Linked DNA regions of Alligator mississippiensis. The protein of the gene in region 3 interacts with the protein of the main gene of each other region in a biochemical or structural test. Links are inferred from orthologs where the notes say so. Each region holds a gene or a part of one and is shown on either strand. Other genes may lie near its edges.

The links.
Region 1: the proteins of PRKAR2A (region 3) and PALM2AKAP2 form a complex in vitro, tested with the Homo sapiens proteins (2 studies listed by BioGRID, with this or other methods). The link is inferred for Alligator mississippiensis from reciprocal best matches to the Homo sapiens genes PRKAR2A and PALM2AKAP2.
Region 2: the proteins of PRKAR2A (region 3) and AKAP1 form a complex in vitro, tested with the Homo sapiens proteins (2 studies listed by BioGRID, with this or other methods). The link is inferred for Alligator mississippiensis from reciprocal best matches to the Homo sapiens genes PRKAR2A and AKAP1.
Region 4: the proteins of PRKAR2A (region 3) and AKAP13 form a complex in vitro, tested with the Homo sapiens proteins (3 studies listed by BioGRID, with this or other methods). The link is inferred for Alligator mississippiensis from reciprocal best matches to the Homo sapiens genes PRKAR2A and AKAP13.

What each region holds. Positions count from the first base shown.
Region 1 is NC_081826.1:163,833,604-163,840,925, forward strand, and holds the start of PALM2AKAP2 (A-kinase anchor protein 2), read left to right. Parts: upstream 1-4,315; 5' UTR 4,316-4,638; coding exon 4,639-4,683; intron 4,684-7,322. UniProt on the Homo sapiens protein: Binds to regulatory subunit (RII) of protein kinase A. May be involved in establishing polarity in signaling systems or in integrating PKA-RII isoforms with downstream effectors to capture, amplify and focus diffuse, trans-cellular signals carried by cAMP.
Region 2 is NC_081837.1:6,728,504-6,736,417, forward strand, and holds the start of AKAP1 (A-kinase anchor protein 1, mitochondrial), read right to left. Parts: upstream 3,010-7,914; 5' UTR 2,906-3,009; intron 1-2,905.
Region 3 is NC_081835.1:755,611-763,299, reverse strand, and holds the start of PRKAR2A (cAMP-dependent protein kinase type II-alpha regulatory subunit), read right to left. Parts: upstream 3,014-7,689; 5' UTR 2,888-3,013; coding exon 2,626-2,887; intron 1-2,625. UniProt on the Homo sapiens protein: Regulatory subunit of the cAMP-dependent protein kinases involved in cAMP signaling in cells. Type II regulatory chains mediate membrane association by binding to anchoring proteins, including the MAP2 kinase.
Region 4 is NC_081834.1:12,429,447-12,437,429, reverse strand, and holds the start of AKAP13 (A-kinase anchor protein 13), read right to left. Parts: upstream 3,006-7,983; 5' UTR 2,925-3,005; intron 1-2,924. UniProt on the Homo sapiens protein: Scaffold protein that plays an important role in assembling signaling complexes downstream of several types of G protein-coupled receptors.

The DNA.
Region 1 (7,322 bases), on a different chromosome or scaffold from region 3:
GCATAAGACCAGGCGGGGAGCAGAAAGCAAGAAGCAGAAAACATAGCAGCAGATTAGGTAAGGGAAAGTAATTGGAGTGGCACTCAAGGGAAAGGAGGAGGGTGCTAATTTGTGGTACACTTGCCAAAAAGGTTGGTCCCCACTGATACAGAATATAAGTGGTCATAGGTAGTAATTGGAAGTCAACTCTGGGGAAAAACCAAAGGAATAAATGAGGTTAGACATGTGCAGTAGGCACATGTACCAACAGACACAAAACTACACTGTAGGTATTGCTGATAGTGCTACCTATACTTCAGGTTACCCAAAACTTTCCTTTGTAAAACATTTTTTGGGGTTTTTTTGAGTGCCTACAGTTTTGCAAGATTTTATGAGCTGAAATTTTCCAGGCTTGGTGTCACCCTCAGGCTGAAATTTTTTTGAACAGTTTCAGCAAAAATAGTTTGGACACTTCCAGGAATGAGCGAGAGAAGAAAAACTGATGTTTTTTGTTTCTGTTTTTAAAACAGTCATACAGCTGCTTCATTTAGAAGCTCTTGCACTTCCACAGTGTGGGGAAGGGACTTGAAATACAATGGAGGGGTCAGCAACCTGTGAGCCATAGACTGGATCTGGCCCACAGAGCCAAGGGGGGACTTCAATGGCATTCCAGCAGCTGGATGATTTACCCTGGCACTGCAGCCAGGCAACATGGAGCTTCATTTGACATCTTGCCAGGCACTGGAGAAGTGGGGGTGATGGCAGTGGCCAGGTCCTAGCACTGTCTCAGCTTGGACCCAAGCAGTCATTCCAGCCTGCCTTTACAAACAGTTGCCAACCACTGCAGTAGAGTATTGACCTGGTATAAAGGAATATGTATGTGCCTTTGGCGGTTTCCCTGACAATTTATTCAAAATCATCAGATAATAAATCTTTGAGGATTCTCAGTTCAGACATGCTCAGCAGAGATTTACTAAGAGTTTGGTGCTAAATTAACCAAAGATTCCATCCATGCTGGTCATGCTTTAGCACATAGCTGCAGGACTTTCCATGCAACTGCTCCTCTTCATTGTTATGGGACTGATCACCACAACTCGGAGCAGGGAGACAATCTGTCCTTTGCTATCAGTGCCCCCGGCACTGGTCCTAGCACTTTGGAGAAACGTGAATTGCTGGAATTCAGAGGGAATGGAAGCCAAACCTTCACATGTGAAAAGGCAGAGGGAGGAACTGGAGGAACAGTGGGAATAGAATAGAATAGTAGTGCTCAACCTCTGGTCCTGGAAGCCACAGTAATTCATCATCATCATTGTTTCCCCAGTCCAAATTTTACATGTGGTCTGCGCTCTCTCTTCTGCACAGGCCACTGCTGCTGATTTTGGTATTCCCAAATGTTGTGGGGTGCCTTGTGGTGCTATAGGGCATCTCAGAAGATGATCCATGGCTTGCTTCTGACAAATGCGTTGGTCGGTTGTATAGATGTTGTACGCACAGGGCGTACAATGTGAATTAAAAACAAGCGGGAATCTTATCGGGGGATAAGGCACAATGCCACATTTATTGAAAACATAAGACAAATAAAAGAAATGAAAAAAAACAACATAAAGATACTGTTTCCTCTTCATACACTGACACATACATATCCATTTATTCACATACATACAAAAGGAGATGGACAGGCAGTCCTGCAAATATCAAGATATTACCAGTTCTTAAGATGCTTGGGTTAGCTTGGCCAGCTAAGTTAACCATGAGAATAAAGCCAGGTCTTGTTGGACGCGTTCTGATGCTGATGCTGCTTCTGTGCAGGACAGACCCAAAGCCTCTTTGTTCTTGTCCATCTTTATAGTGATTGTTCCCCATACAAGTCTATGGGTCCTACTGCATCATCTCCTCACTCTCGAAATGATCCTCCTCTTTGATTACAATATTATGATTGACAGACTCTTCTGTCTCTGTAGTCTACAATTTTTTTTTATCTGTTGTCAGCAATTTTTTCAGCCATTGGAACAAAACCATTAGCTTGTATTTTGTAATTCTTAACTGTTGATCTTGGACATTGTTGTAACCTTTGGTTGTTAAATCGCAGAAGGCTATTTCTATCCTTCTAGCTACAGGTGCAAGACAGACTGTCTTAACATATGCATTTCCACATGTACTGTTTATTCTTTCATTACTTCTTTTCAAATATCCCAGACATACCACAGGCCTTGCATACACACCACTTCTCTGATACTATATTTAACCTACACAACCACAAAACAAAATGACTGTTACACTTACACTAAGCAATGTAAAAATCAAAATGGAGTCTCAACTAAGACTAAGTTACAGTTATTTGAGCAAACTAAAATGGATATTGGTTATAAAATAATAATAAAGAATATTATAAAGGCAATATCAAGAGTACATAAAGACAAATTAACTTTAGCTCAACATAGAGGCCCCGTGATCTCATAAGAGATTTGCATTGGCCAAGACCCACTGTCAGTCTGTTTAGGCTCCACCATGTGTGCCATTTGTAATTGGAGCCAGATGCTAACTCCTCGCTGGGGATAATTCCTTGCCAGCTCCATTCAACAGTTTATTGCCTCATTTCTCCCATTCATTTTGCCAGAGGGTAGTTCACAGCAATTAATACTACCCCCACCACCACATTTCCGGATCTGTGGGGAGACTTATGGGCTGGATGATGCAGTCCTGCACACTGGATCATGCTGGTACATGAAGTCGTACCTGCTGTCTGACTCTACATGCCAACTCCGTGCTAGATCTAGTTCATTGTTGGATTCCACCTGCAGGATCTGACCCATGGGTTAGCTCTGCACCCCTTATCCAGACCACAGAGGGATTGAGCAACACTGGATTAGAACAAGGAGCCACTGGCAACATTAGAGGAGATTAGACTGAAAAGCCAACAGTGGGAGCCCATGGGCTTTGTAATAGAGCTTTGGGAGGCAGGGTAGTGGGGAGAAATAGCTCAGTCGGAACAAGGTATAAGAGAATTGCCCTCAACGGTGTAAGGAGAATGATTCAAGGATCAATGAAGCTCACTAGCATTGTGACCTAAGCATGGGGGTAAAGATTAGGACTTGGACAAGACCTGACTGGGAGACTTGGACTTGAAGGGCGGGTTAGAGGCAGGACTGGGAGCAGGGCAGGCTGGTTTGGCTCTATAGAAACTCAAGGGAACTGAAGATTCCTGAATATAGGCATGCCTTTGCCAGTGGCATGTATGTCTGAAACTTGGTGGTTTCCAGCCACTCTTTTGTCCTGGTACACCAAGTGGGTGACAGCCTACTACTGCTGCCAGTTCTCTGTCAGCTAATGTGAAAGTCGTCTATACCAGCATTTCTCAAGCCATGGGTTGTGACCCAAAAATGGGTCGCAAGAATATATGAAAGGGTCGTTAACAAACTTTAAAAATAGATTGTCCTTTAAAGGAGAAAAACGTGGGAAACGGTGGCTTTTCTCTTGCAGACTGTCAGTGTTCCAGCCCTCATGGAGCTGCTTGGGGCCTCCATGCCCAACACACTGCGGGGGCTGGGGCCTGGAGGAAGGGGCAGAGGGTTGGGAGTGGGGAGCACTGAGTCAGGATTGGCCATTGATGTTTACAAACGGGTCCTGGCAAAAAACAAAAGGTTTAGAACCATTGGTCTATATGAGTATTTGAAGTCTCCCTGCTGATGAGCTAGTTGTGTGATGATGAATACACATTCTTTCTCTCTCGCTCTCTTTCTGCATTAAAATGTTGCAAGTCAAGCCCTCAAAAATGAGGAAATGCCAGAATTAAGACTGCATCTGTGATCCCCATTGTGGGTATACATTGTGGTGTGGTCTTTAATTACATAATGATATACTTCCATTTCTGATTGCTTGGCTTTGCAACCTTGACACTCCTTTAATGTAGCACTTCAGTATGTAAGAAGTATGAGCAATCTGTGGGCTCCGTTTTCCTTCCCCTCTGAAGTATCCTCCTGGAGAGCCACCACTTTAGTGACTCTTTGTATGTGCTGTATTATTATAGTTGCAAACTATTGTGCTGTAGTCTGAATGCACAACTGTGTATTGTTCCCCTCTAGTCCCCTGAGCTATGTCCTTTTCTCTGGCCAAATCAGTTTAGTTTTTCAGCTTCCAGTGTGAAACTCTTTGACCTCTGCTGAAATCCCTGTGCTCCCCCTACCCCTGTTTTTCTAGAGTTCCTCATTAAGGACATGCTGCAGTACAGCCCTCTCCCTCCTCTACTGCATTCATGCAGGTTCTGATTACTATGCATGCTACTGATGTCAACTCCTGTTGTGACCCAGCACTCCATAGGAGGAGCAAATGAGCTGAGATGTCAAGCCAAAAAATTATAGCCATGAGAGCTATCCCTGCACTCAGCTGCTTTCAGAGCACATACATGGCTTGTGTGACAGCAACAGCACACAGAAGCAGCAATGAAATGCAGTTAGCTGTACAGCTGGAAGACAAGCAGGCAGGCACTGGTCCAGTGCCTAAAATGATCCTACCGTGAGCCAGTCTGCAGTGCCTCCAGAAGTGCTTGACTACTACACAGGAACACAGCTTTCTTTGCAGATACTCTGTGGCGTGTAACTCAGTTTCCCTTGGTGACTGCAGTGTGTATTTTCTCTCTTTCCCTGTGTCCTTTTCTCCAGGATGGCGGAGGCAGAATTGCACAAGGAAAGGCTGCAAGCCATAGCAGTAAGTCAGCTTCATTTTACTTGCTCTTTTGTCTGTGAATGGGAAGCTGTGAGTTACTGAAGGGTCCAGGAATTCCAGCACAGTAGCTGGGCAGTATTTAGGCAGCATGGCTTTAGAGAAGTTTTGCATAGAGGTTTTTTGTTGGTTTTTTTCCCCCTCTTCAGGAAACTAATGGTTAAAGATGTTCTATGTGATTTTTGCCAGTAATGAGAGTTCTGATGGGAGTGTGTTTAGCTGACGTGTGAAAAATGTGAGTGCAGGATGGCACATGATTAAAAAGGAGAAATACCTGGGGAGGGGGAGATGGGAGCTCATCAGCATTCTGCTAAAAAGGTATTAAGGTACCATGCGAGCTTTAGCTAAACAGATTAAGAAGTTAAACAAGAAGGATCAACCTTAGGGTGGCTTTTTGTATAAAGAAAATCTTTCTTATTTTGCTTTAAAAAAAAAAAAAATCAAAACAGTGGGTTATCACTAATCACCAGACTAGCTGATTTGCCAGTTTGAGACAGCAACCTCCATTGCTTATCTTAATACCACCCAATGCTTTGAGCCAAATCTTCAGATGATATACATCCATTGAAGGAATCGGGGTGGGGCAGGGGGTAAAAAAGTGTTGCATTTTGATCGGCATTCATCAAAACTTTATTTTTTTCCCCCCTGTGTTTAAAACCTGACATATACAAAGCTAGAATCTCAGCTGATGCAAATGGCAGGGCTCCTTTTGACTTCAATGGAGCTATGGCCAATGAGACCAGTGAAAGGATCTGATACAAGTCTTTCAAAAATGTAGCTGTGCTGCCAATAGAAAATAGAACTGCTCTTTAATTAGGAGTGCAAGTGACATCAGAATCCCCACATTGCTACAAGCATTGTTTATTCACTGAACCCACATAGGTTTGTCCTTGTTCCTTATGACATTCAGTTTTTGGGGTTGTTTTTTTTCACCTGGTTGACAAGCTAACACCGCAAAGCCTTGTAGTCAGACAGCACAATATGTGCAAGTGACTGTGTGTCTCAGGTCTGAAGTGAAAAGTCAGAAAAAATGCCAAAGCCTGCTTGGATTTTGGGAGTCCCTTCCAGAGTGTTGTCAATGATCAACAGATGTTGTGTTTTACTACAGCTGCCACAGATGGATTATATATTTCCTTTGTAGGCGGGGCAAGAGAATGGCTGCTGCTTCTGCTATACTAAGTTGTTTTTCTTAGGTCTATTAATCTACTAATATGTCCATACATACTTAAAATAACTGGACATAAACTTTTGTCTTTTAAAAGTTTTCCTGGAAAAGATCATGTGTGGGGAAAAGGTTATTATGGTTTAAAGGTAAACAGCTGAAATGTTTTTAAAACACTGGTCCAAAGTTTCCAACAGGTATAAACATTAAGAATTCCCCCGCCCAAAGTGCAAGCAGTAGTGCCTGAAGCCATTAAAGAACTAATCCTTCCTAGCAAATTTGGCTTTGAGGCTTTGGATCCTGAATGTGAAGGGTGAATGTTGCATACCCACAAAAGATATAGCGGTCATGTGTGAGGATTTTGAAAATGACTTTATCTTCATATAAAAAACTGTAGAATATAATTCTGATGCCTCATTCAGACCCTGAATAACTAATGGTAAACCAAATTTCTGTGCTCTGAATATATTCTGTATTGCAAGAGCGAGCTGAAGAATGGCACTATCTCAACAAACTTTTCCATTGTCTGGCACTTGTCATAGTTATTCATAATCAGGAAACCAGAGGGGATGCAAAAATCATTACCCTATATTTTTTTTTCATTACCCACTGGCATAAATAACTCTCACATGTGAAGAATAGTAGGCAACTTGGATCCTTATATTCTGTACAGGCTACATCACAGATTGTGCTGAGTGCTGCTGTTAAGGATTAACATAACCTGTGAATTACAAAGGTTTGAAATAATTCAACTTGAACCTCAAAAAAATACTCAATTTCTGTCTTGTTTGAGTTCATATTGTATCACACACTAAAAGTTGCTCAAAGGATCTTCATATCAGTACAATTATCCATACAAACTTTTGGGGAACATTTGTTCCTCTATTTAAATATTTTAAACGTAATCATGGTTGGCTATTCTCAAATGTTAGATTGATTCACCAGGATAGGTTAATGGTGTGAAATGCAAGGTATTCCTCCTGTGTCTCCTGTCTGAAAGTATCCTATATAATTAGCAGGCTCAGCAAAACTTAAATCGTTTCTCAGAAAAAGAGAGGAGGCATTGCAGTTAAGGTCCATCTGGAAAAGTCAGGGAAAAATATTAGTCATTTCCAGTGTCTGACTCAAGCAAGCAAAGATCTATTAATCCACCTTATAATTTAGGCTGGTTGAATGGAGCAAGAAAGTAAACAATCCAGCTTTGCACAGTTATTTAGTTTTCTAACTAAGTTCACTTGGTCGCTTGTATTTTCTTATGCAGACATTTCCAGTAAAGGTCAGGTGTATCATATTAAAAGAAAGCAATGGTCATATTTGCAGTTGTGGAGAATTCCTGCCAGAAGTGTGAGAGGGCTTCTGTCAGTCAAACTGTTGTGGTTTTAAAATTACAATCAACTTCTTAAAAATGGGTGTCTGTGGTGCCAGTCCTGTGCAGACTCCAGTCCTGCACAGGGCCAGGAAT
Region 2 (7,914 bases), on a different chromosome or scaffold from region 3:
CTGGACAGTCAGACAGCTCGCAGTTTTGGGGCAGAGCAGATTCTGGATGCATTACCTAAAATTACGCTTCAACTCCTTAGAAATAGCAAGCACTCGCCCTCAAAGTGTCTAGGTTTTTTTTAAAAGGCACCTCAAATGACCAGTTGCTTCCTGACAAGATACTTGGTTGTATGTATATAAAGACAGAGAAAAGCTCATCATTGACATCAGTTTTTAAATAGGAAATCAAGGAGTCCCTGTTAGCCATCTAAGTGTTTCATTACTTCTATCGATTGAAAAGAGCATTTCAAAGGGCAACACACATCTGCTTATTCAAGAGCTTCACAGACAGCAAAATTACCCGAATAAGTGTATGGCTTACAGCAGGGAAGGGCACCGGGAGGATGAAAGCTGCAGATAAATAGGGCTGTGGCATTAAACAACATTTGTGTTCCTCTCACAGAAATCCTGCCATTAAGCGGTACCTGCTTTCAAAGGACCTCCTTGAAGGTAACCTTCCCCCCAACTCCCCCTTCTCAAAAGGGATTCAAGCACTTCAGTGACTTCGAGTCGTAAGGTCAGACCCAAAAAGGCACTGTGGTGCCCAAATCCTACAAATTTCAATGAGGCCTTGAGCACTTCTCAAAGATTCACACTCAGGCTATGAGCAGAAATAACTCGTAACCGCTTTAAGAAGAGGGCACACTAGCTAAGATAATAAAACTGTTGCATTTGCAGCCATACAACAGAGCTTAAAACAAATCAAATCAAATCACTGCAACTGTAACCTAGAATAAAACAGGGCTAGAGTTGAAAGTATTCTGCAACATCGGTATCCCTGTAAAATCCTACGCGGACATCACTTAGTACCAATAAAACAATTATGCTCCACTACAGTCCGTGCATCTGAACTTCCCTCCACCACCCTACACACAGCTTAAATCCTTAAAACATTAAAGAAAAGAGGCTGGGCTCGGGCCGTAACCCCAAATAAAATGCTTCCTAGGTGTTTGCAAAGCACCCAGCACAGCTGAACTCCAGTCTTGGCTAGAGCAACAGCCAGATCGTGTGCGGTACTGGTAGGCCGCAGCCCTGTTGTGCTAGGTGCCGAATGAGCATGCTGCGAGCTACAAGGTCTGGATCAAAAGCTTACAAGCCAACCGGCCAGCACGCTGGCAGCTGGAGCAGACACGATCAGGAGACTGAGGTGGCTTTACAACCTTGGTGACGCCGAGAGGTTAGAAGGCAGCATGCTCTGCTCCTATCCACACCGGAGACGACAGATCCCAGCCTGCGGGGCCATCGAGCCAGCTCTTCCCGCGAGCACTAAAGGTGCACGAGGATTTTCACAAGCACTGCAAAGAATGCACTCAGCAACGCCACAGCAGAAATGGAAGCAGGGGGGAGCCGGCATTTTGGTGTCAGGATAGGAAGTCTCGATACACAGCAAGGAGCGGAGGGGCTCGTGACTGCGGTTCAGTCAGCAAAGAACTGAGACTGGGGTTTGATCTTTCGGACCCGCTCTGAATTTTGCACTGGGTTGGTACCGAAATGCAAGTCAGTTATGCAATTACAACCACGCTTCGGCAATTTGCATGCGAGCCCGAGGAGCTTGTAACATTAAAAAAAAGTAAAAATACTTTGAAGTGCTTTAAGTTCACCGACTGAAAAGCACCAAGAGCAGAGGTGTAGCAGCTGCCCCAACAGGTATTTCGCCCATTATGCAAATGGCTCAGCTAGGGGACAAAGAGCAAGCGACTTGCTCAAGGTCACACAGCAGCCAAGCGGCTATCACCACTCCCAAGCCCTGCGCTGCTCAGACGCCTTCTCCGCAGAGGACAAGGCACGCTGCTTCATGGAGCAGCTGTACCATGCTCCAGCAGGTCACATGCTCTCTCCTTCCCATTTCACCGCCCGGCTCCTGCGGCTAGGGCTCAGAGTAGATGATTCACAGACACAAAACAAACAGGAGACGTGAAGTTAGCCTCTTTTCCTATCACTTTCCCCAGCAACAGGTCCTTTCCTTTCCCCAGAAGCAAAGTCCACAGGCCTTTTGATAACACCGGCCAGACATCAGCAAGCCCAACGCCTTCCAAACAAACCAGGCTGGCCCTTGCAGCGTTGAAAAGTCAGTGCTGCCATCACTCTCGCACCCTGCGGTCTTCCTGAACACGTGGCCAGCAGAGAAACATGTGATTTAGGATATCGGATAGCAAAGCACCCACGAAAAGACAGGCCCTTAGGACACATCTCGCAGACCCCTCATCGTACGCCCTCAACTCGGAGCCGGCGCGCGTCTCTACCTCCCGCCGACAGAAGTTCAACTTGCAACTCGAACGAAACAACTCCCCCCGGGCAGCCAAGCCGCTCGAGTGTTGCCGAGCCGGCTTTGCACATCCTCCAGCATTACGCCAGCCTTCGAGGGAGGCAGAGGTGGTGCAAGGACGTGAGAGGCGCTAGCTAATTTGCAGCCTGTCGGCGCCCAGAGGGTGCCGTCCTGCCCGCGCCGTGCAAACACGGGCGAGTCTTTACTCGCGCAGCCCCGGCGTTCGGTGGGGTTGCATCACCGCCGAAAGGGCGCCTGTAGCCCAGGCGTAGGGTTTCCTCCACGAAGGAGCCGTTCGCACGCGGTCGTGGAGGCGGCGCTCACGCGGCGCCGCTGCCTGGGCTGAGCATCTACCAGGGACCCCTGGGCCCGCTCCTTTCTTGGGGAGTCTGGGGAGGGGGATCCCCACGCCTTGCTGCGGGTCTGGGGGGCCAGGAGGAGCCCCATCCCCCCAGAGGGTGGGCAAGGGGGCTCACTTAGCTCATGCACCCGCAGCCAAAGCAACGGGGATGGGTGTGGGGGGGTGACCGTGACCTTGACCGCCCCCAGCGCCAGCGGGGAGGGGAAACGGCGCAACCCTGCCCCGGCGGCGGTACTCACGGTCCGTGCGGTGCTCTTCCCCCGTGCCGTGCCGCGCCGCGCCGCGCCCCGCCCCCGCTCCGTGCCCACGTGCCGCCCGGCCGAGCCCCGCCGAACTCTGAGACATTCGCCCGCGGCACAAGGTTCCACTCGCCCCGCCCCTCTCGCGAGAACGCCGCCTCGCGCGAGACTCGGGCCCGCCCCCGCTGAGCTGGGGGTGGGGGGGAGGGGAGTGTGTGCGCATGCGCCCCGCACTGCCCGTCTCCTGGCGGGGTGGGAGTGCCCCCATCCCCCCCCCCCAGCAGCCCCCCGCGAGGGCAAATGTCACTTACTCGATTGCAAGACGACCCCATTTACCAGGAGAAGGGGGTGCTCCATGTCCTCCCTTTGCCCACCCCCACCTTGCCCTTGATCTACGCCCCAGCGGGGGCCGCAGGAGGGTTGGCGTAAGGATGCAACCTGCGGTGGTGGACACAGGAATGAAAGGCGTGCCTTTTTATCGCACGCTTTCCAGCTCTGGATGCACCTTTTTCTGGCGCGATCGGTACTTTGCGTGGGCAACGTTAGGCGGTCTGAATGCATTGCGGGGTTAACTGTATAATACTTGTAACCTGTATTGTAACTCTCCAGGTGTTTGTAACAATTATAACACTGTGACCTGTAGAGTTACAAGTATCTGTAACACTTGCGAGCCGTATAACACTGTAACTGTAGAGGGGGGTACGGGAGGGTCACACAAGCAAATCCAGGCTCTGTCGGCCCTGCTCAAACCGTACCGAACGCTGTCCAGTTTGCGGATAGGTTTTCAAACTGGCTTTTAACTTCTTCCTGCCTGAGAAGAGCAAAGCCTATGAATCGGGTTTGCACGCGCGTGACAGTGCTGACATCGCGCGGCTTTCCCCGGCCCGCTGGAAAGGATCTCGAGGCGTCCTGGTTCAAAACCACTGAGCTACGCACCCGGTCAAGTCACCCTCTGGTCCTGACACGGAGCTGGTCCCTACTGCAGGAGCGCTCAGCAACGTCTCGGCACGTCGCGCAAAGCGTTAGGCTGCGCGTGCCTGCAAGCTGCTGCTCGGGGAAGTCAGGATTGCAGCGTCTCTCTCTCGTCCCCGCTCTCGGCACGCTCCGTGGGAGGAGTAGGGGAAACCTCAAAGGAAAATCCATGTTCAGCAAGCCAGTACTCGGTGTGGCCAGGCCCTGTACTGCAGAAGGATGCACACTCCCTTTTCCTCTCGTAACCCGCCAGCGGTGATAAGTTGCACTGGGACAGGATGGCGGCATTTCCCCCTGGCACTGAGTGTATTGAAACAGCAGCGACACGACGACCGTCATCTATAAAGGACTTCCACAGGGAGAAAGGCACGTGAGGATTGCTGCTTAGCCTTTTGTCTAAGATCCAGTATAACGGGCCCTGAGCTCCCAGGCCTGTAGGTCTGGCACTTGCATGTAGGATCCTGGCCTGGTTGAAGATCCGTGAATATGTATAGACATCGTTACTGAGCTTTGCTCATTTGGCTTGGGGATTTAATCGGCTCTTGGATTTGGACTGAGACTGGAATACATTTTAATAGTAATAACAATCACGACCAACAACGGCCCTGTGGGGATTGTGGTGTTTTATGCTGAAAAGGCAGCCTGGCTCGCTGTCTTATCACGCCAGAACAGTGCTCAGATCAGGGTCCTGCTGCGAGGTTTGCCTTGCCTGACCTCGGGCAAGTCACTTCTCTCTGCTTTAGTTTCCTCTGTAGGAAAAAAAGGTAGAGATCCCACTCCTCTGTCAAGTGCTTTTGAGTTCAGGGGATGTAAAGCACCACCTAAGAGTTAAACCGCAGTAATGTTGGTTTGTTGATTTTACTTTTTTTAGCTTCAGGCCAGTTTGTTTCCATTAAGTAATGTCCCCTTATACCGGTAACATCCAGGGCAACAAAACCATCTTTACCTTTCAAAGGCTTTCAAGATGAGAGGAAAATTATGCTATGTTGAAAATGTAGAGGGAAAAATGTGGTCTGAGCACAAGCTGGAGGTCACAGCCCTGGCATGTATGTCCTGGATTCGAAATCTAGCTCGGTCTCCTTTTAGACACGTTACAGCTCAGGGGTGCTCAGCCCCCAGCCCGTAGGCTAGATCCGGCTCCTGGTGCGGTGTCATCCAGCCTCGGGGGCTCTCCACAAACCCAACATTTGGTGGCAGGGAAGGAGTGGTGTAGTGGAATAGTTAAGGGTCATCTTATGTAGTTCAGATCAGGGTAGGTAAAATATGGCCCGCAGGTGAGGTTCGGCTAGCTAAGGGATTTTATTTGGTTTAGATTATGGTTGTACGGGATGGTTTATGAGCCTCCCTCAGGCAGGGGTTGGACTAGGTGGCCTCTGGAGGTCCCTGCCAGCCCAACTTTTCTATGATACTGTGCCCCTGTGCTCTTGCGCGGAGGCGCAGCATGGACCACCAGGGCCTGGTCCCAGTTCACGAGGGGGGGTGCCTATCCCAGTGCACAGGGTCAGCACCAGACCCCAGGGCCCTATCCCGCCGTGCATATGACAACCGAGGCCCTGTGGGGCTCGATCCAGCCCATGGACCAGCACTGCGCCACTCATCTGGCCTGTGGGGCCAAAAGGTTGAGCACCTCTCTTCTAGCTCAAACAGAAATCATGGGCTTGATACAGAATTGGTTGGGGGGGATTCCTGCTGTGCATTATGCAGGAGGGCAGATCCGACGATCCTTTTGGTTCCTTCACACCTTAACCTAAGTGAACGTCTTAATCTGTGCATGGTCTGGGATATATCGCACGCTCTCTGACTCAGCTCCCATGGCCGTCATATAGAAATAGGGATACCAATGTCTCTAAAAATGCCACAGCGTACTGTGAAGAGATCACACTTAGCGTCCCTCTGTCATGAAAGCAGCCGTAAACAATAAAATGTTGCTGGCAGCCATTAACTGGATCTCCCGGTTGTGATCTTAGTAGCACTGTGCCAACAAGCACTGATCTTTGCCAGAAGCTGCTGAAAAGCTGGACCACCTCTGCTTTAGATGGCTCTGTGTAAAAAGGGTATATTCGATCAGGCCTTAATAGCATAAAAAGAGTCTAAGGGTCACGTTTCTTTGTGAATATGGGCAAAGCTAGACGTGCCATATGCTGGGGAAATTTGATGCAAAGGTCTAAGTCATTCAGCAGTTTGAGCAGCCTATCGGTTTGGAAGTGAAAGCGAGCACAGGGCATGGGGTTGAGCAACCTAGCCTGGGAGTGGGACTTTATGTTGGATTGCTGTTCATTGCGGTGTTAATAAAACCATGCACCCAGGCACGGGTGGCTTTGGACTCTATGTGGTGCATGGCCTGCATTTATGGAGGGGCTTGGAAGTGATGTGTTCTTGTGCCCCCCACTCCTAAATAACATAGAAAGCCTGCAGTGCTAAGTAAGGGGTCATTGCAGTGAGAGTCGCTCTCACAGGTGGCATGCTTTAAGGTGCAAACTTGCAATTCATTCCCCACTACTGTCAAGGAACAGATGTCTTGGAGCCTTTACGAACAGCAAGAAAAATGGGGATAAACATAACAGCGTAAATTCGGGGAGCTCGGGCAGCAGGGGTTAAAGGACGATGTTCCCCGGGGCAAGCAAGACCAGACAGTTGTGAGCAGGGCAGGTGGTATCATTCTGTAACAAGGTCTCTGGCTGTGCAAAGTTGAAGCCTTTTTCTGGGCAATGGAGATCGTTGTGCCAACAGTAGCGTTCTGCTTCGCCCCTCTCAGCGTTGCATAAACACTGGTTCAGCATCGCAGGGAGCAGCAATAAGAACGAGTGCCAGCAAAACACTGGCAATTAATAGTCTTAACCAAGGTGATGCTTAAACGGGCTTTGACCAGGGTACAAGCCGGTGTCTGTTCAAACTGGAGCTCCAGGAGCCACTATCGCCACAGCCACTGCATCTAGGAAGCAAAGCTTTCCCAATGACAATGCTGCTGCTACGCTGTGAGCAACGAAAAAGAAAATGCTTTCACTTATTGGATGTCTCTGCCTGGCAAGAGGTGCCTGTGGGTTTGCAAAGAGACTTGGACGACTTGTAGCCTGTTCTGCTGCCCAGAAGGGAGAGCTGGGGTACGCTGCAGGGGAGCAGCGTGCAAGGAAGAAAGCTCGGGCACTTTAAGAGACAGCAGAAATGAGCTGACTAGGGAAGCAGAGAGGAGGCCTGAACATTTTCAAGCAAAGCAGTACAGCTTCACAGCAAAATAGGAGCTGGCTAAATACAGTCAGCATCCAATTTGACAGACTCTGGGACCCTGGGGCCACCGGTTTGAATCCCAGCAGGGCAGTCTTGGATCCCTCTCAAGCACTCACATAGGAGTTTGGAGTACTTTCCATGTGTGCTTCTTTCCAGGGTGGCTTTGCTTTAAGTCAAATCAATTTAAACCATGATTTAAATCATGATTTCATTCACTGGTCAGGAAGTCTCGATTTAATCATTTTCTACAAAAAAGTGCATTCTTGTTCTTTGATATAACCCAAATGCATATTATTCACAACTCGGAGATAGATGTAGGCTTCATTTTTAGAAAGTACGTGCTATACATTTTAAAGGAGTGATTTATTTGGATATTTTTTTCAGATCCCTTTTGCAGCCACATCAGAAACCTGAATGGTGACATGTGCATTGTTTTAGTTAACTAAAACAACAAACTTATGCATTTTGGGTATAGTTCTTCAACAACAAACGTATATAATTATTTAAAAAAAACAAGCATATGTATTTTCAAAGTTTTAACTATTTTGGTTATAAATGTGAATGTGTTTTTTAACAAAACTTAAATGGAGTATTTCAGCCAGGTCAACATGAGAAATTTGCTGGGTTGTGCAGCAAACTCAGGCTTTACCTTCCTCTTCTTGTTTATTCAAACTCAAAAAGAAAGACAAGACCTAGGGCCAGATTTTCAAAGGCATCTAAAGGGATTTAGGTGCTTAAAGATGCAGATAAATCCCACTGTAGATCCCACTAGAAAAGGACCTGAGCAGGTTATACTTCTTTCTCCAGGGAAA
Region 3 (7,689 bases):
AGACAGGCTGCTGCTGGTCACTACTTTAACCTCATTCACTCAATTCTCCTCCCTCTTCTTCAATGTCTGCTGTCACTTTATTTTTCTATTGTCCCAAAACAGAATATCCTACTCCACAAAATATTAAAAAATTAAAATTCAACATTCAAAAAGCCAGAACTCACAACACTTGCAAGCCATCATGCCACATTAAATGCTTTCCCTCCCAATTCCCTGTCTTAACTATACATTTCTCAAAGAAGAACTTTGTCTGTCTTTGTTTTTACAGTGGCTATCCTAAGAGGACCATGATAGTCTCTAAACATTGCCCTAAGTGGCTATTTCAAAGCCTGTCCTGAAGTTTAATATGCTGCTGTTTCATTAACATCTGAAAGAGCTAGAACATAGTGCAAAAACAAATTGCATCCAGAGATGACACTTAATAACTGGTATAAAAGCACTCTCACAATATCATTAAGAGAGCCATAAACCTTTACTCACATTGTATGTCAAAGAGATATGACCTCAAAGCAAGGCAACTGAACATTGCAATGAGTGGGAGTGGAGAGTGTATTACTTTTTAAAGGCATAAATATCCAGAAAATGCTTTTTTTCTCCCTTTTTTTTTTTAGTTAACTCAAGATTAAGAATAACATTAAGTATCAAATAGTTTATATTTCAATCTCTGATTTTATTAAAAAGTGCTATTCAAAAAGCTCTGAAAGCATTTTGGTTTTCTTTGAAGCTCAACAAAAACCTTTTTAAACATTGCATTTTCCAACCCAAACAAAGCACTACACATCACTGCAGAACAAAAATAAAACTATAAGGGTATCAGTTCCAGTGTTAAGGAGCAGCTAAGTGTTTACCACCTCTCCCCCACATACAGCATCAATGTAAATGGGGAAAAAGATATGAAATGTTCAGAATGTCTGCCCTTTAAGGATAAAAATAAGGAAGTTGTTTCAGCACATTTTTGTAATAGTGGGTTACTGCAACCAAACTGCACAGCAAAACCATCAAGCACCCAGATCATTCTCAAAGAAAAACTAAGTGTTGGGTTTATAACTATTCTTGAATGACCACATTGCGGCTCAGGACTGCACAAACTGCACAGCAGCATGAGACCCTTCCAGCCGCATACATAGCATGACGTGCATTTCATGTTTCGATACCTCAAGTCGTGCCCTAACAACCATTCTGGCTGTCCCTGGGCCACTCCCCACACCTTCGCTTTCTTTTCTTCCAGGAAGAACCAGCGAGCTGAAGCTCCCAACACCAGACCCAACCCCCTCTCCCCCTGCTCATTTCCTAGTGATAATGGTGCAGGACTGAGCCCTCAACAGTGCCACTTCTAACGCCGTGGACAACACAAGCCAAAGGAGAGCAACAAAAGTAAAGGGGGGGTAGCAAAGAACGCTAGGAAACAAATAGCAGGAGCCGCCCCAGCTTCACCTGAAGCTAGCAACAGGAAAGGCTACCCGGGACCTCTTGAGATGATACTGACAACATTTCACAGCAGCAGGATGTTGGCTGCCATACCTCTCCTGTGGCTGGTAAAACAAACGAGGCTGTTAGGCGTGTGGTGTCAGGGTTGACAGTAGTCTCGCACAGAGTTCAGACCATGGTTTGGACAGATCCTGCCGCAGGCAGAAGGACTACATGACCTCTGGAGGTCGCTTCCAGCCCCACTCCTCTACGGCTCTGGGACCAAGTTCTCTTTCACGCAGCGTGTCATTGAAGCGTGGCACTCGCTGCCACCCGCTGCGAACTCCCAGTTCAGCCACGTTCAAACTGGGATCGGACACGCGCTTGGAGGACAGGGGCACTGGTCACTATGGAGCACCAAGGGAAGGGCACGGCCACTGAACCAGAACTTCCTCCACTGTAAACGCTGGAGGCTGCAAGCGAGACCCTGGTCAGACCCAGGTCGCTCTCCCTTGCAGCCTCCACTCGGCCGCCACGGGACAGGGCTTTTAACACATCGGAGGAAAAATGGGCCCCGGCCCGCCAAGGAAACTATAAACACCCTGCAGTACTGGGGGCCACTAGTGCCGTGTTACTGAATGCTTGGGACACACAATCGTGAGAACGGGGACAGGAAGGGGGGTCAGAGGTTCGTTACCAGAGCGCCGGGGGAGGGGGGGGCACGGGGCAGAGCACACCGGACAGCGCCCGCTGGCCCTCGAACGAGCGCCAGGAGCCAGCAGACGCTGCCCAGCGATTCTCCGCTCGGAGCCGGGAGCAAAGCAGAGCGAGGAAAGCAGCCCCGCGGTCCCCAGGGGCCCCCCGGCCACCACCTCCTTCCCGGCCGGGAGGGTCGACCAGCAGGTCCCGGCCGGTGGACAGGGAGCATGACACCGGAGAGGTGAGGGGGACAGGCCCGTCGCTCCACCGGTGAGACGCGTGGGCCGGGCCCGGCCCGCCAGGTCTCGCTGGGCTCCGCGAGTCGGGGCAGTTGCGGGGAGAGGGGACAGCCGAGCGCCCCGACCAGCGCAGCGCAGCGCAGCGCGACACTGCCCGGCCCCGCGCTCGCGCCGGCCACAGCCGCCGGCCGGGGTAGCACGGGGCTCGATGGAAGCCGGGCCGGGCCGGGCCGGCGGCGAGGGGCTCCCGCACCCGCCCCCTCCCCCTCCCGGCCCTTACGCTCGAAGTCGGAGTCGTCGGAGTCGGAGTCGGCGCCGCGCTCGGGCTCGCCCTCGCCGTTGGACTCGGTCTGCATGGGCTCCCCGTCGAAGTTGACGCCCTTGCGGCCGGCGGCCGCGGCCTGCTGCTGGTCGCGGGCATCCCTCAGGCGGCTGAAGTAGTCGGCGGCGAAGCCGAGCAGGTCGGGCGGCCGGTGCCGCAGCACTTCCACCGTGTAGCCCTGCAGCAGCTCGGTCAGGCCCGGCGGGATCTCGATGCTCATGGTGGAGCGGAGCCGGGCCGGGCCGGGCCGCCTCTCCCCCTGCGGCTGGCTGGGCGCGGGCGCGGGCGCGGGCTCGGCCTCCCTCCTCGCGCCGACTGACTCCCGCCGCCGCCGCCGTCACGCGAGCCGCGCCGGGGGGAGGGGCGCGAGGCGCATGCTCCGCGGGCCGCAGGGGGCGGGGCCCGGGAAGGGGCGGGGCCGCGCATGCGGCCGAGCTGGGTGGAATGACAGGGCTGGTCGTGCGCATGCGTCACAGTGCGAGAAGAGCCTAGGGGCGCGGCGAGCTGGGAGGGAGGGGGAGCAGAGCGCATGCGCATTTCGGTGTGGGGAAAGGGGCGGGGCATGAGGCGGCCAGTGCGCCTGCACAGGGCTGCGGCTAAAAGCGCGGGAACTGGTCGCGTGGTTGGTGGTTGATGAGGGTGGTCTGTTAAGTTTCCTCGCGGCCCCGGGCCCAGCTGGGCCCCTTCAGTTCTGCGCATGTTCCTTGGTGCTAGTATGTCTATGCTGCCTGCAGTGCTCCGCCTGCCAGTGTCCTGCTGTGGCTGGAGGCACTGCAGCTTGCTTCCTTGCCTCTAAAACGGCCACTGCCACCTGCTTCTGGAGGTGTCGAGGCAGCGTGTCCATGTCCTCGACCGTGCGGCTGTGGGTGCACATGGCCCGTGCTTGTGGGCCCGCTGGCTTATTCCAACTGCACCCTGCTGTTTCATTTTTTTTAAATGAGCCTTGACAGTTAAAAGGAAAGCTTTGGACAAGTGAGACCCTCAGGTGCTGGAGGCAGCAGAATGGCTTTGGCCAGAGGCGGTTCAGACCCCGCGCAGAACAGCCGGTGCCGATTCTGAAGCCTAATGCTGATTTCTTAAATAGTGAGTCGTCTTCGTTTCTTATCCCTTCACTGAAAACATCCGGCAGGTTGTGAATGTGGGGGTTGTAGATGAATTGAGCTCCACTACAGTACCATTCCTCTTGACGGCAGCGAAGGCACTGTGCTGTTTGCAAAACCCAGTGTGACATTTGGTAGAAACGTAAACGTGAGTCTGCCCTTGTGGAAGGCCTTTGCACAGCACTTCAGAAATAAGTGAATCCCTCTTCAACTGAAGTCAGCAATGGCAACCTGCGTGTTGTCGGTGCGCTGGTGACAACACACTCGGCCTTTAACTTTTGAACAACGTGGGGCAGAAGACTTGGCAGGTGCAGTGAGGTTGATCCTAGCATTCAGATCTCATAGAAGTATTCCAATAGCAATATAACCAGGAATGGATTGTGCCCGTCCACTTATGATATAACTGTACTGAAGTGAAGTCGCAACAGAGAGATTCTTGGCCAAATATATGTTGCGTTATTCCATCCATCCTGATTAAAGGCTACAAATATTTCTAAAGAGCAATTGGAATGATTTAGAAATGTATTCTGCAACTGTATATCTAGAAATATTTTTGGCTGTCATTAATGATCTTTTTAGTAATAGTAGTAGTAGTATTTTGGAACATGGAATAAAGCTGACCCCTTTATACACTAGCAAACAGAATATTACTGATGGAAACTCAAACTTATTTTAAGATATTGTAGGCACCTCGGGTAGAGTAGAGGCTGAGAGGCTTCTACATCTACAGTTTTCAACCGGTGGTCCACAGACCCCTCGAGGTCTGCAGACCTATATATAAGGGGTCTGTGAAAGACTATTATAATCAACCAAAGTATGTGAGTACTCACACTTACAACTCAAAGGGGTTCACACCTCCATTCAAAATTTTTGTAGAGGTCCGCAAATGGAAAAAAAGGCTAAATCAACTGATCCAATTCAGTGTTTTTGGATTGTTTCGGGTATCCAAATCTTCGCATGAAGGTAAAAAAAAAAAATCATAATTCCCTTACATTTTGTTGTTCTTATTATTAGCTTATCTATAACAATATGCTAACCTGTATGACATGTTTGAAAAGGTCTCCAAAATGTCTGAAAAGGCTGTGCTGACTGACTACTTGACCTTGAGGGGAATTGGTATACAGGGAATTGTGGACTATCATTTTCCTTACAGTAGACAGCAATATACTTTCAATACCTTGTGACCCCCCTGATTACCTGTTGGATCCAGTCAACTGAGAAACATTGATTTACATCAGGGTGTCAAACATACAGCTTGTGGGCCAGATCTGGCCTGTGGATCTTCCGTCTGGCCCACTGGGCTACTGGCTGGCCACTGGAAGTTAGGGGGCAGAGCCTACTGCAGAATCTAGAGCCCTCTGTCCCTGCTGGGGTGGCTGTCAGCGGTGAGCTTGGCGTACCACCCCTGCCCCTGGACTTGCGCTCCTGAATCTGCTGCCACCGCCAAACCTCTCACTGCCACTATGGCAGCTCTCCTGCCCCAGGCTGGATCCGATCTGCAAAGAACCCCGTGGTCTGGATCCAGCCCAGCGCCCCAGATGAGTTTGACATCTCTGATCTAGATGAATGAGCATAATTTTGGGAGCCAGTGGGTTTTGATGCTTTGTCTTATATCTGCCAATTACTTACTATGTGGCCTCTGATAAAGCCCTTACTTTGCCTTAAATGTCTCCTTCCTTAAATGCTCTATTCTCTGAGTTACAGAATTCTTATTTCTGTTCTTTGTGCAAGGCATACACACGTAGCACTGTTATCTATTTATATGCACACTAAAGGCCTGGCAGACATTCAACCAGTGACTACCCTCTGCAAGGTGCGGCACTTGTCTTCCCTTATAACTTGAGCGTATTGAGGAGTTACAGTATGGGAAGAAAATTGGCCTGTTCACCTATGACTAAGAAGGAGAGCAGGTTGAGTGATGTCAATGTAAATACTTTAATTTTGTTCTGATTTTGCTTCAACAATAGTAGGGAACAGAAATCAACAAGTGTTTGAATTATGAGCTTCACACAAATTCAGTGTTATCCAAAGCTATTTATGATGTGTATTAGCTTTTGTTTGCTCCTCCTGCGAATAGGTCCCGTCTCATCCAGATGGCTCTTAACCCATCCCCATGCAGCTAAATGCATTTTACTTATCATTAGAGTTGTGCAAAAAGCACAAGTGAGGACACCAGATCTCCATATTAACAGTTTTTGCTGGTTTTCTTTTCCATTGAATGAGAGAGAAGCTAATTAGAAATCTGCTGGTATTTATACTGCACCTAGTGTTTCTGTTACAAAATTTATTTTTATAATGCTTCTTCCATAATTTGGTGTAAGGTAAGGGTTTTTTGTACAAATATTAAATATAATTAATTAAAAAATAAGATGTAACAAATCTCAGAAATCTGAGAGCAACTGTTTCACTACACCCTTTATGGCACCAACCAGCAGCAGAATACTTTTCTGGCATATCTTTGCCATATCCCATCATCTCTCCTCACTGATACCAGAACATATTGCACCAGCCTAGTAACTATACCTACACTGCTAATATAAGGGTTCAAGGCAAGTGGCCTTGAGTAAGAAGAACAAGAGGCTGCTTTGGGTTCCCTGCAAAATTACACAAAGTACATGAGGTTTTTCAATGAGACTCTCTGTCCTTTGACACTTATGTGCCAGGAGTGCTACTATTAAGAAGGTTGGATGAGGAGAATTGGACACACTGAGAGAGGAAGGAACATTGGCGGATAAGAGCAGAGAAAGAAAAGGAATCTGCTGTTCCAAGGGAGTAACATTTTTTCTCTTTCCAAGTCTCTTGCACAGCAGCCAGCCACCTGGCTATCCCCTGCTGTTGGCACTAGTCAGCTCTTGTACTAGCTCTGAATGTTTGTTGATAATTATAACTCATTTGTCCCTGTGTATATAAATCTGGTTATTTATATGAAAAATGTGCTGCCGGTAAATATTGTTAAGGTTCTGAAAAGCTATGTTGTGTTAGCCTTCTGACTGTTCAAGTGTCCATACAAAGCAACTCAGCCTCAGACAGAGAACATTCTGTAAAGGAGACTAGCACATAAACATTAGGTCCGTTTAGCTTCTGTCTGAAGGTCAGTGGACAAAGCGGTGAGCATCAAGGCCACATGAAACACATTTTATTCCATAGTTTATTTCATTTCATTGTACTTTTTTTTTATTTGTGGATGTGGGACTGATAGCAAGCTTGCACAAGAGACTTGTCCATGGTCAAGTAGTACTGCCCACTCTGCAAATTTTTAAAGCTTAAATAACCTCTCTTAGTTTATATTAGATTTTTGTCATTAGAAGAATCCATATGGTGAGAGAGGATGCCAAAGCTGAAAAATCAAGAACCAAGAAGTTGGCAAATACCCTTGCAATCTTAATTTTGCCTCTATTACATGCAAGGAGGTATTTAAAGGTATCTTTGCACATGATCTCATTGTGCACTGAATAGCACAATGAGATAATGCAGAGTTGTGTAATTATTTCAGCTGTTGTCTATGGTTCCCCTAGTCAAACATTTTTCTACAGCAATATTTCTGAGGTCTTTTTAATACCTGAATACACTTTCTTCCATCTTGTTCCTAATTTCAGACCCCCACACTTTAACATCTCTCTCTTCTTTTCCCAACTCACCGACTTGCTCTTTCTGACATTTGTTATTGAGATGCATTACTCAGGCTTCCAATAAGAGAAGCAAGGTTACAAGGCAAGTAGCAAAATAATCTATGTTGCCTTTTACTTGGAAAATAATCAGTTTAACCATTCAGACTTCAAAAGCAAGTAAATACATACAGTTAAATCAGTTACTTTGGATAATGCTATCAGCAATAGTCAGAGCACAGCAGCCCCAAAGTTATATACAGCACCTGTACCTTTGTCAGATTTGATTTGGTGCCTCTCAGCTCACTGGAAGTGTC
Region 4 (7,983 bases), on a different chromosome or scaffold from region 3:
CTGTATCATCTGCTAAAACACAATTTCCACAGTTCTCCCATACCAGAAATAACCCAAAGTAAAGAAACACCCCAGATTAAGAAGGGATATTGTTTTTAGCTCCCATCTACAACAGCAGAAGACCTTCAATGCTCCAGAAATGGAAGACAGTAAAAGATGAGATGGCTAAGGAAACCAGCACACAGAACCCTGGAACCTGCAGCAGTGATTCATTTGGCAGTTTTAGTGAAGTTTCTAGCCATAGCCCCACTACTGCTACTATCAGAAAACAGTGAATGGATGTGTCAGCTAATGTGACACTCATCTCACACCCTAAAGAAAAGCCAAGCCTAGGTACTTCTAATGCCCGTCACCATAGTACCAGAACACCTCTCAGCCCAACGCAGTTACCTCTGCAAAGAAGGGAAATGCTATTATTTTCAGTTTACAAAACAGACAAGAGACAAAGACTAAATAATCAGCGCAGGATCACAGAGGAAGCCTCTGATGGAGCCAGGATTTAAATTTACACGTCCCAATCCCAGGACCATCCCTCAGCTGTCAAGGCAATATTTCTCAAACTTTTTAAAACAGAAGGTACCTCTCATTAGACTCAAGGAGCTTCTCAGAAAAAGCACTCCTCAACCAATTCTTAGCTTTCGTACTTTTTCAACTGCAGAAAAATACTAGAGGAATCCTTTCAACTCCTTTCTGACCTGTAAAACACCTGGAAAGACCACAACAAGTAAGAATGATTTTGATACTATGGATTCCTACTGGAAATCTCTGGGTTTATCTGGTGAATTGTGTATAGGTGTTTGTAAACCTAACAATGCTAATATTAAGCAGCATCACACAGTACCCGTAAAGGGATCTTGTGTCACCACAGGGTGTTGCAACACCTTAGTTGAAAATCACTGATTTAAAGGTGTCTCAAAATAGTACTGTACCCCAAATCACCAGCCACACAAAAAAAAAGTGGGTGTTGGCCAATCACATGTACGTAAGATCAGGCTATCTTTTGTTGCTGCCAAGCTGTGTATGCAAAGTACCAATACGACAAAACTGTTTTCAGCTACACAAAAAACACACTGCATAGTTTGTTGCATCAAGATTACCTGCAGGCACATGGACCCAGAAGCTTGCCTAGCATTTCCTCTGGGACAATCATTCTGTAACAGAGCATCCAACCAAAAAAGATGGTCCTGTACCTAAGCAGCATCCCCTGAAACTCCTGCCTGGTTTCAGCTCCCCTCTTTGCTGCAGAATGGTTGTATGACCTCAACCAAGTAACTTGTGAGTCAAGTTCCCATCCAGGAAGGGAAGAAAATCGTGTCCCCCTCACGACAACTTGACCGGAGTTAAGATCATCAGCCCCTGTGTGAATAGGAGTAATATCAAGGGACATGTCCTCCAGCGCGAAATTAATAAATCATTACCTTCCAAAAGGACTCTTCAGCCTAACTCACCCTAACAGGCCCACAATAAGCCAGTGTGTGCAAAACAACAAGAAGAATGTGGAGAGGGACCGAGTTCAAGCTTCAGTAGTTATTGTAAACAGAAACCACACCATTCTTGTCCCATCGCAGCTGATTATATTACGTGATCCTGGACCCACAGCACAAAAGGCACGCCTGCAACCCAGGACAACTGTCCAGACTTCGTTTATAGACGACATGCCTCTCATATTTCTACTGCATCACATATCTCAGCATGTATTTTGAGTTTCACGGTTGCCTTTAAGACTGTAAGCAAGCAACATATGCTACCGATTGGTTTACCGCGGCATCTATATTCTGTTTACCACCTCAATACCTGCACCTCAGTAAAGGGATGCAATACCACAGCAGATGGCATCGCTGCAGAACCACAACATTGCAAAGGCTTGAATGTAAAGAAGAAAAGCATAAGGGAGACGCCGTGCAGGACACTGGAGAAGAAGCAATTAGAGAGGTCAGTAACACTGATCTCTTGCTAATCCCAACTCCTTTGTATGACCTGCAGGGATAACATGGCTACAGAAAGGTGGATTAATAAACCCTGGTGGCTTAAGAGTTCGGGCGCAGCAGCACTTTCGCTGCGACAGCGCCTCAGACCGCTCTCAAAAGAAAAAGTTACTTCTGAGCAGCTGCAGCCAAGCCTGGAGGAAAAGCGAAGGGGGAGCCCGTCTGGGAGCAGCGACCCCGCGCGACAACCCCGCGGCCTGTCCGGACCCGAATGCTGATGCGGTTCGCAACCTTTTCACATTCGAGGCCCCCTTCCCAGACCGGAGCCACCCCTCGCTAGAAGCGAGACACCTCAAGGAAAACGCCAGCTCTCCTCACTTTTTTTTTTCAACTACAGACAAAAGAGCGATGTTTTCCTGCTGCCCAGAACAGGGAAAGCCCCCAGCAGAGCAGGATGTTTTTCACAGTGGGGGATCCCACCCCAGACCTCCCTTGCGCCGCAGCCCCCTCGAAAGGCAATCAAGCCGCCCCTGTTCGGGGGCCGCAGCGCCTGCTGGAGAGGCACCGCCTGGGCCAGACGGTCCCGGCCGGGTCCCGCTGACTTTCTGGGCTCGACCCCAGATCCCGATGTTGAGCAACGCCCGTCTTCTCCGGTCGGAGGAAGCTGCATCTTCTGGGGGGCGGCCGAGCACCCCCAGCGCCGCGGCCGAGCCGGGGGCTGCAGGGGACGGGGCCGAGCCCGGGCAGCAGGACACGGGGGCACCCGCTGCGCCCCAGCCGGGCGACCCCAAACCCCCTCGACCCCAAGAACTCCCTGACCCTAAACCCCCTCGACCCCAAGCACCCCTGGACTCCTGACCCCAGGAACCCCTTGACCCTACACCCCCTGACACCAAGCACAACGTGACCCTAAACACCCCTCACACTAAAGACCCCAAACCCAGCCCAACTTTGCCCAACTCCCGCCCCTCACGCGGCGCGGCGCGGCGCCCTCCTCACCGGGCCGGGGCTGCTGCGGGCGGCGGCGGCGCCGTGTCCGGACCAGACTCGCGCGCTGCCTCCTCCCTCCGCCCTCCCAGCGAGTCCGCGCCACCGCGCATGCGCCGACCGGCCGGAGTGAAGGGGGCGGAATTGGCCCCGCCCCGAACGTTGGGGAGCCCGCTGCCATTGCTTCACTGAGGTGCCAGGAGGCGGCGCGGCAGCCAATAGGAGCCGAGCGGTGGAAGGGGGCGGGTTTCGAATGCGGGGAGCACGTGGAGGGGGGAGGCCGCGCTGCCCGGGGCGCTGCCTCCTCCGCCGACTTGCAACTATTGTGTGCGCAGGAAGCAGCAGCCGGTGTCCGGGAGCCGCGCCTGGCTTGTCCCGGGGTACAGACACCTGCCCCGGGGTGCAGCCCCTCCAGATCACAGCTGGCCTTCGCCCCACGCAGCTGCCCCTTCCCTGTGCAGCGGCTGCTTGGCGCCTCCTGGCAGGGTGGAAATTGCAGGCTTCCCCGTGCAATGAATTGACACAAAGCAGCAGCTGAGGCAGGAGGAGCCTGCAGGCGGCTACCCCTGTCCCTGCCCGGTAGCACCGTGTCCCCTGGGTAGCGCAGAGTAGAGCGGCTGGGAGGTTGCTCCGCTCCGTGCCATCTGCAGCAGTGTTTCTCAACCCAGGGGCGACGTGTAGGGGGTGCATGCGGGTGCACGTGCACCCTCTGAGTGTGGCGGTGCACCCCCTGCAAAAAGCCCACCCACCCGCCAGCGGTGTCTGCGGGAGCTCCCGGCTATAGCCACCATGCTCCCAACACCGGCCGCCGGGGACATAGTTTCACAGTAGCTAGGGTCAGGAGGGACCTGAACAGATCATCTAGCCTGACCCCCTGCCACAGGCAGGAATGGAGGCTGGGTTCACGAGACCCCAGACAGGTGATCGTCCAACCTCCTCTTGAATTTGCCCAAGGTAGGGGGGAGGACGACTTCCCTGGGAAGTTGGTTCCAGATTTTGGCCACCCTAACTGTAAAATATTGCCTTCTGATCTCTAACCTAAACCTATTCTCCATCAGCTTATGACCATTGTTCCTTAGTACCCAAGGTGGTGCTGGAGAGAAAAGGGCTCTACCTATTTGTTGTTGAATACGTCGTTCATGTCGCAACCCAAAAGTGGGTCGCAAGACTATATGAAAGAGTCTTGAATGAACTTTAAAAAGGATCAGCAAACTTTAAAAATGGGTTCTACTTTAAAGGAGAAAAATGTGGGAAATTGGGTTTTCCCTTGCAGGCTGGGAGAGTTTCTATCTGCAAGGGGCTGCTTGGGGCCCCCCCATGCCCCACACACACACCCTGCCCCACAGCCACCTCCTGCCCCAGACACTAGGGGCTGGGGAGGGGCAGCCATCAATGTTTACAAATGGGACCTGGTACAAAATAGGTGAAGAAGCACTGATCTAGAACAGCCCTGAACAGGTTTGGTCCTTGGGTCCAGAATCACATGCAGGCATTGCCTACCAGGCCTTGCAGCAGGTGCTTAGTGAGCAGGGAGGCTGAGAGGGGTCCACCTCTGCCTGCATTAGCTGTATGCCATTAAGGTATTTTCTTGATGACAAAGGCTGGGAAGCTGCATCTGCGCAGTAGCTTTATGCCTCCTTTTGCACTGCTGGACCTGGACAAGTACGACCTGAATAAGGCATCAGCCCTATGCTCTATCTGACGCTTCTCAGGCGCAAGGTAAAATATCATAAAAGAGTGGTCTCTTGTCTATGGGAGGGGAATCCTCCTGGAGACCACTCTACTTTTTCAACTGCCTTAATCCTGAAAATTTTACCTGTTTCTTACTCAGGTCCTCCTCATCAAGGGAAATGCCCTCTTGGAATTAAAAAAAAATCTAAGCCGGGGGGAGGGACAAAGATCTCAGTTTTTTGTCCCAGAAAGTTCTTACATTGGACAAACATTTGAATCCAGAGTTATCGGGTGACATCCACGGTCCATGAAGCCTCTGCGACAATTTTCAGGGTTGGAAGGGAAAAACAGGAGAGCTTACCAGACAGCCCCAGTGAGGTGAAATGGAGTTTTGCCACTGGGGAGAAACCTTCCCCTCTATATGTTTCCCTGAAAAATGTATTAACTTACAGTGAGACTACAGTGGCCTAGGTACCAAATGCACAGAGGTGCTTCATGGACTTGGAAGACACAAGGACACACAGGGTTGATATCTGCCTCCCTTTGAGAAGGGATATGCTCCACATACTCATCTCTCTAGACCAGAGGTGGGCAAAATGCGGCCCGGGGGTCAGATGCAGCCTGCCAGGCCATACTATCCAGCCTGCGGGGCCTCAAGACTTTGGAAAATTAATATTTATCTGCCCTGAGCTGCCTGTTATGCGGCCCTTGATGGCTTGCCAAAACTCAGTAAGTGGCCCTCTGCCCAAAATAATTGCCCACCCCTGCTCTAGACTGATCTAGTAGGTTTTCGGTCACTTTTATCAGCTCTGGGGCAAGGGAAGTGATGGGACATTACAGCTCTTTTTCCTTACCTCACTCAATTGAGTTACCACTGGCACTGACATGCAATTTAAGGATGCAGAAGTAGTGCTCCCTCTGTGTTTACTGGCAGGCAGAGGGAATGTGGTTTAATGGAACCGACTGAGGGTGAAGTGTGATTTTTTTATTTATCCTTCAAATAAAGGAGGGGAATTTTGTGTGTAGCTCAGGATCACGTTCAAAGCTATAAAAGCTGAACGTATAAGTCCCAAGCAGTCCACATTTCCTCTGGGACAGAAACAGCACACGTTCTCTGACATCAATAGTGATGCTTTGGGGCTCTCTACAGCAAAGGAGCACGTAAGAGCATTTTTCAAACAGGCGACTCCCTGGAACAGATGAAACCGCAGTGCTAGGCCTACACTAACAAGCTTGCTCTCTTGAGAGATGCCAGCACCACAATAATAAAGCACCTCAAAAGAGCAAGCTTCCAGGCACATGCACCCAGCACTGCGCTAAGGTGCCTACATTTCACCTGCTTCAGGATGTGCCATGCCTTGATGGGTGGATATGCCCCACATATTCATCTCTATAGTGCAGTGGTTTTACAAACAACTTAAAATATCTTGCTTTTCATGAATAACTTTTAGCTTCTTTCCCAGCCTGTGAAGAGAGATTCACTGCCTGTCTTCCAAGACCTGGGGACTCTCCTTCTGATTCCACCAAGAGTCTTCAAGTGAATCTCATCACCTGCCTTTTACCTTGATGTTTCTCCGTGTTTGAGCTACTCCTGTTTATTCAGCTGCTTTGTCTGATTATTCATAACAGGGTGCTTCTGGGCCAGAGTTCAATGGACACAAGCAGCTTTTTAAAACTGTAGATTTCTTTGTATATGAAATCAAGACTTTTCCCCATTAAAGCTTATCTTTAGGTGTACAGGGCCCTTTGTGCTACCATTCTAACCTTCCCCCCTCTAGCATTTATAAACCATCTCTTTCTTGTGTTTCTGGCACACACACTTCATCAAAGAAGCTGATCCTGTGCAAATAAAAGTGGCATGCATGTACCACAGCATTCTCAAATATACCCTGCATAAGGGAGCCCTGCAAAGAGAAAAAAAGCATCCACTTTCTTGGATTTATTGACACACTGGAAGTAGGCTTCATCTCTCTATTTCTGCAAAGATTCTCACTACGCTCCTGTTGGCCAAGCATGCTTGATTGCTCCTACTGTGCAAATAGAGGAAACTAGCAGACCTAAGGCTCACAGCACACTTCCCATCTCTTAGTCCTACTAACATTGTGCAGTGTTGCTTCATTTAGAGCAGTGTTCGGCGTAACGCACCTAAAAGTGTTGCTTACCAGATACAATACTGGCTTGCGTCTCAGGACACCTGGGTTCTATTCCTATGTCTGCCACTAGGCTGCCTGATGACTTTAGGTAAATGATTTCACCTTGCTGTGCCTCAGCTTCTCCTGCTATGAAATGGGGATAATGGCAACACTGACCACCTTTGTCCAATGTTTTCAGAAGTACTGATGAAAAATGCTCCTTGTGGGCTACATATTCCTATGGTGATCTACTAGCTTTGGGCTGGATCCCACTTCTGTTTAAATCAAAAGCAAAACATCATTTAAATGGGAGACCAAGTAGAACAAGGGTTAAAATTCTTGTGCAATGCATGAGCACAAGAATGTGTTCAAGCCCTTGGGGTCTTGAACACATTGGCTGCTTTATAGCCTGCAGTGTTCCATACCCAGACATGAAAAACACCCTCTTCCAAATGAAACTATAGCTGTTGGGCAAATTATGGGGAGGTACCCAAGTTTAAGTCTGATGAGGCTAAGGGGGTTAATACTCGTACTCTTGTGAAAAAGGATCTGCAGGTTCTTTAACAGCTCCCAGGAAACCTGCATTATTAGATTTCATCTAGGAGCCAGGATGTTGCCCAGCCACTTTATTGACTCAGAGGAAAGAGTGCCACCAAGTGAAACCCTGTTCCTGTAGCACCTGTGTCCCATGGAGGTCGGCCCTCCCCATGTAAAACACATGACCTTGCAGTTCAATAGCAACAAAATGGCATGGTAACTGATGCCAGCTGCCTACACTTTCCATAGCATGTATAAGAACAATCTATTTTTATCCTTGAAGATTTCTATCATGGGAGTATTTCTACTTTAGTACTCAGATACTCAGCACACAGTACCTAATCAGCCCTCCACTTTCCGCACGTTCACATACACACCCTCTGAAAATACTTTCAAAGACTACACTGAGCACAAGGAGACAAAGTTGGTAAGGTGGCTGGCGAGATTTGCCCCTAATCATAACCATCTCTACAACAAAGTCCACGGTGACAGAGAAGATCAGCCGCCTCCACCCTGACTAGCAGTACTGTACGCTGAGAACTGTAACTCTCCAGTGAGCCAATTGCAGGGATTTTGTGATGTGGGTAAATTAGAGGAGGGCATGTGGTCTCTGAGGGTCTCAGGCTGCTTTGCAAACTTCATTGCTAGGTAGGTTAGTAGCATGGCCAATTTTCTGGCAGACAGAGAGAAGCTAAGTAAGCCACCTAAGATCATGCAGTAGATCAGGGAAT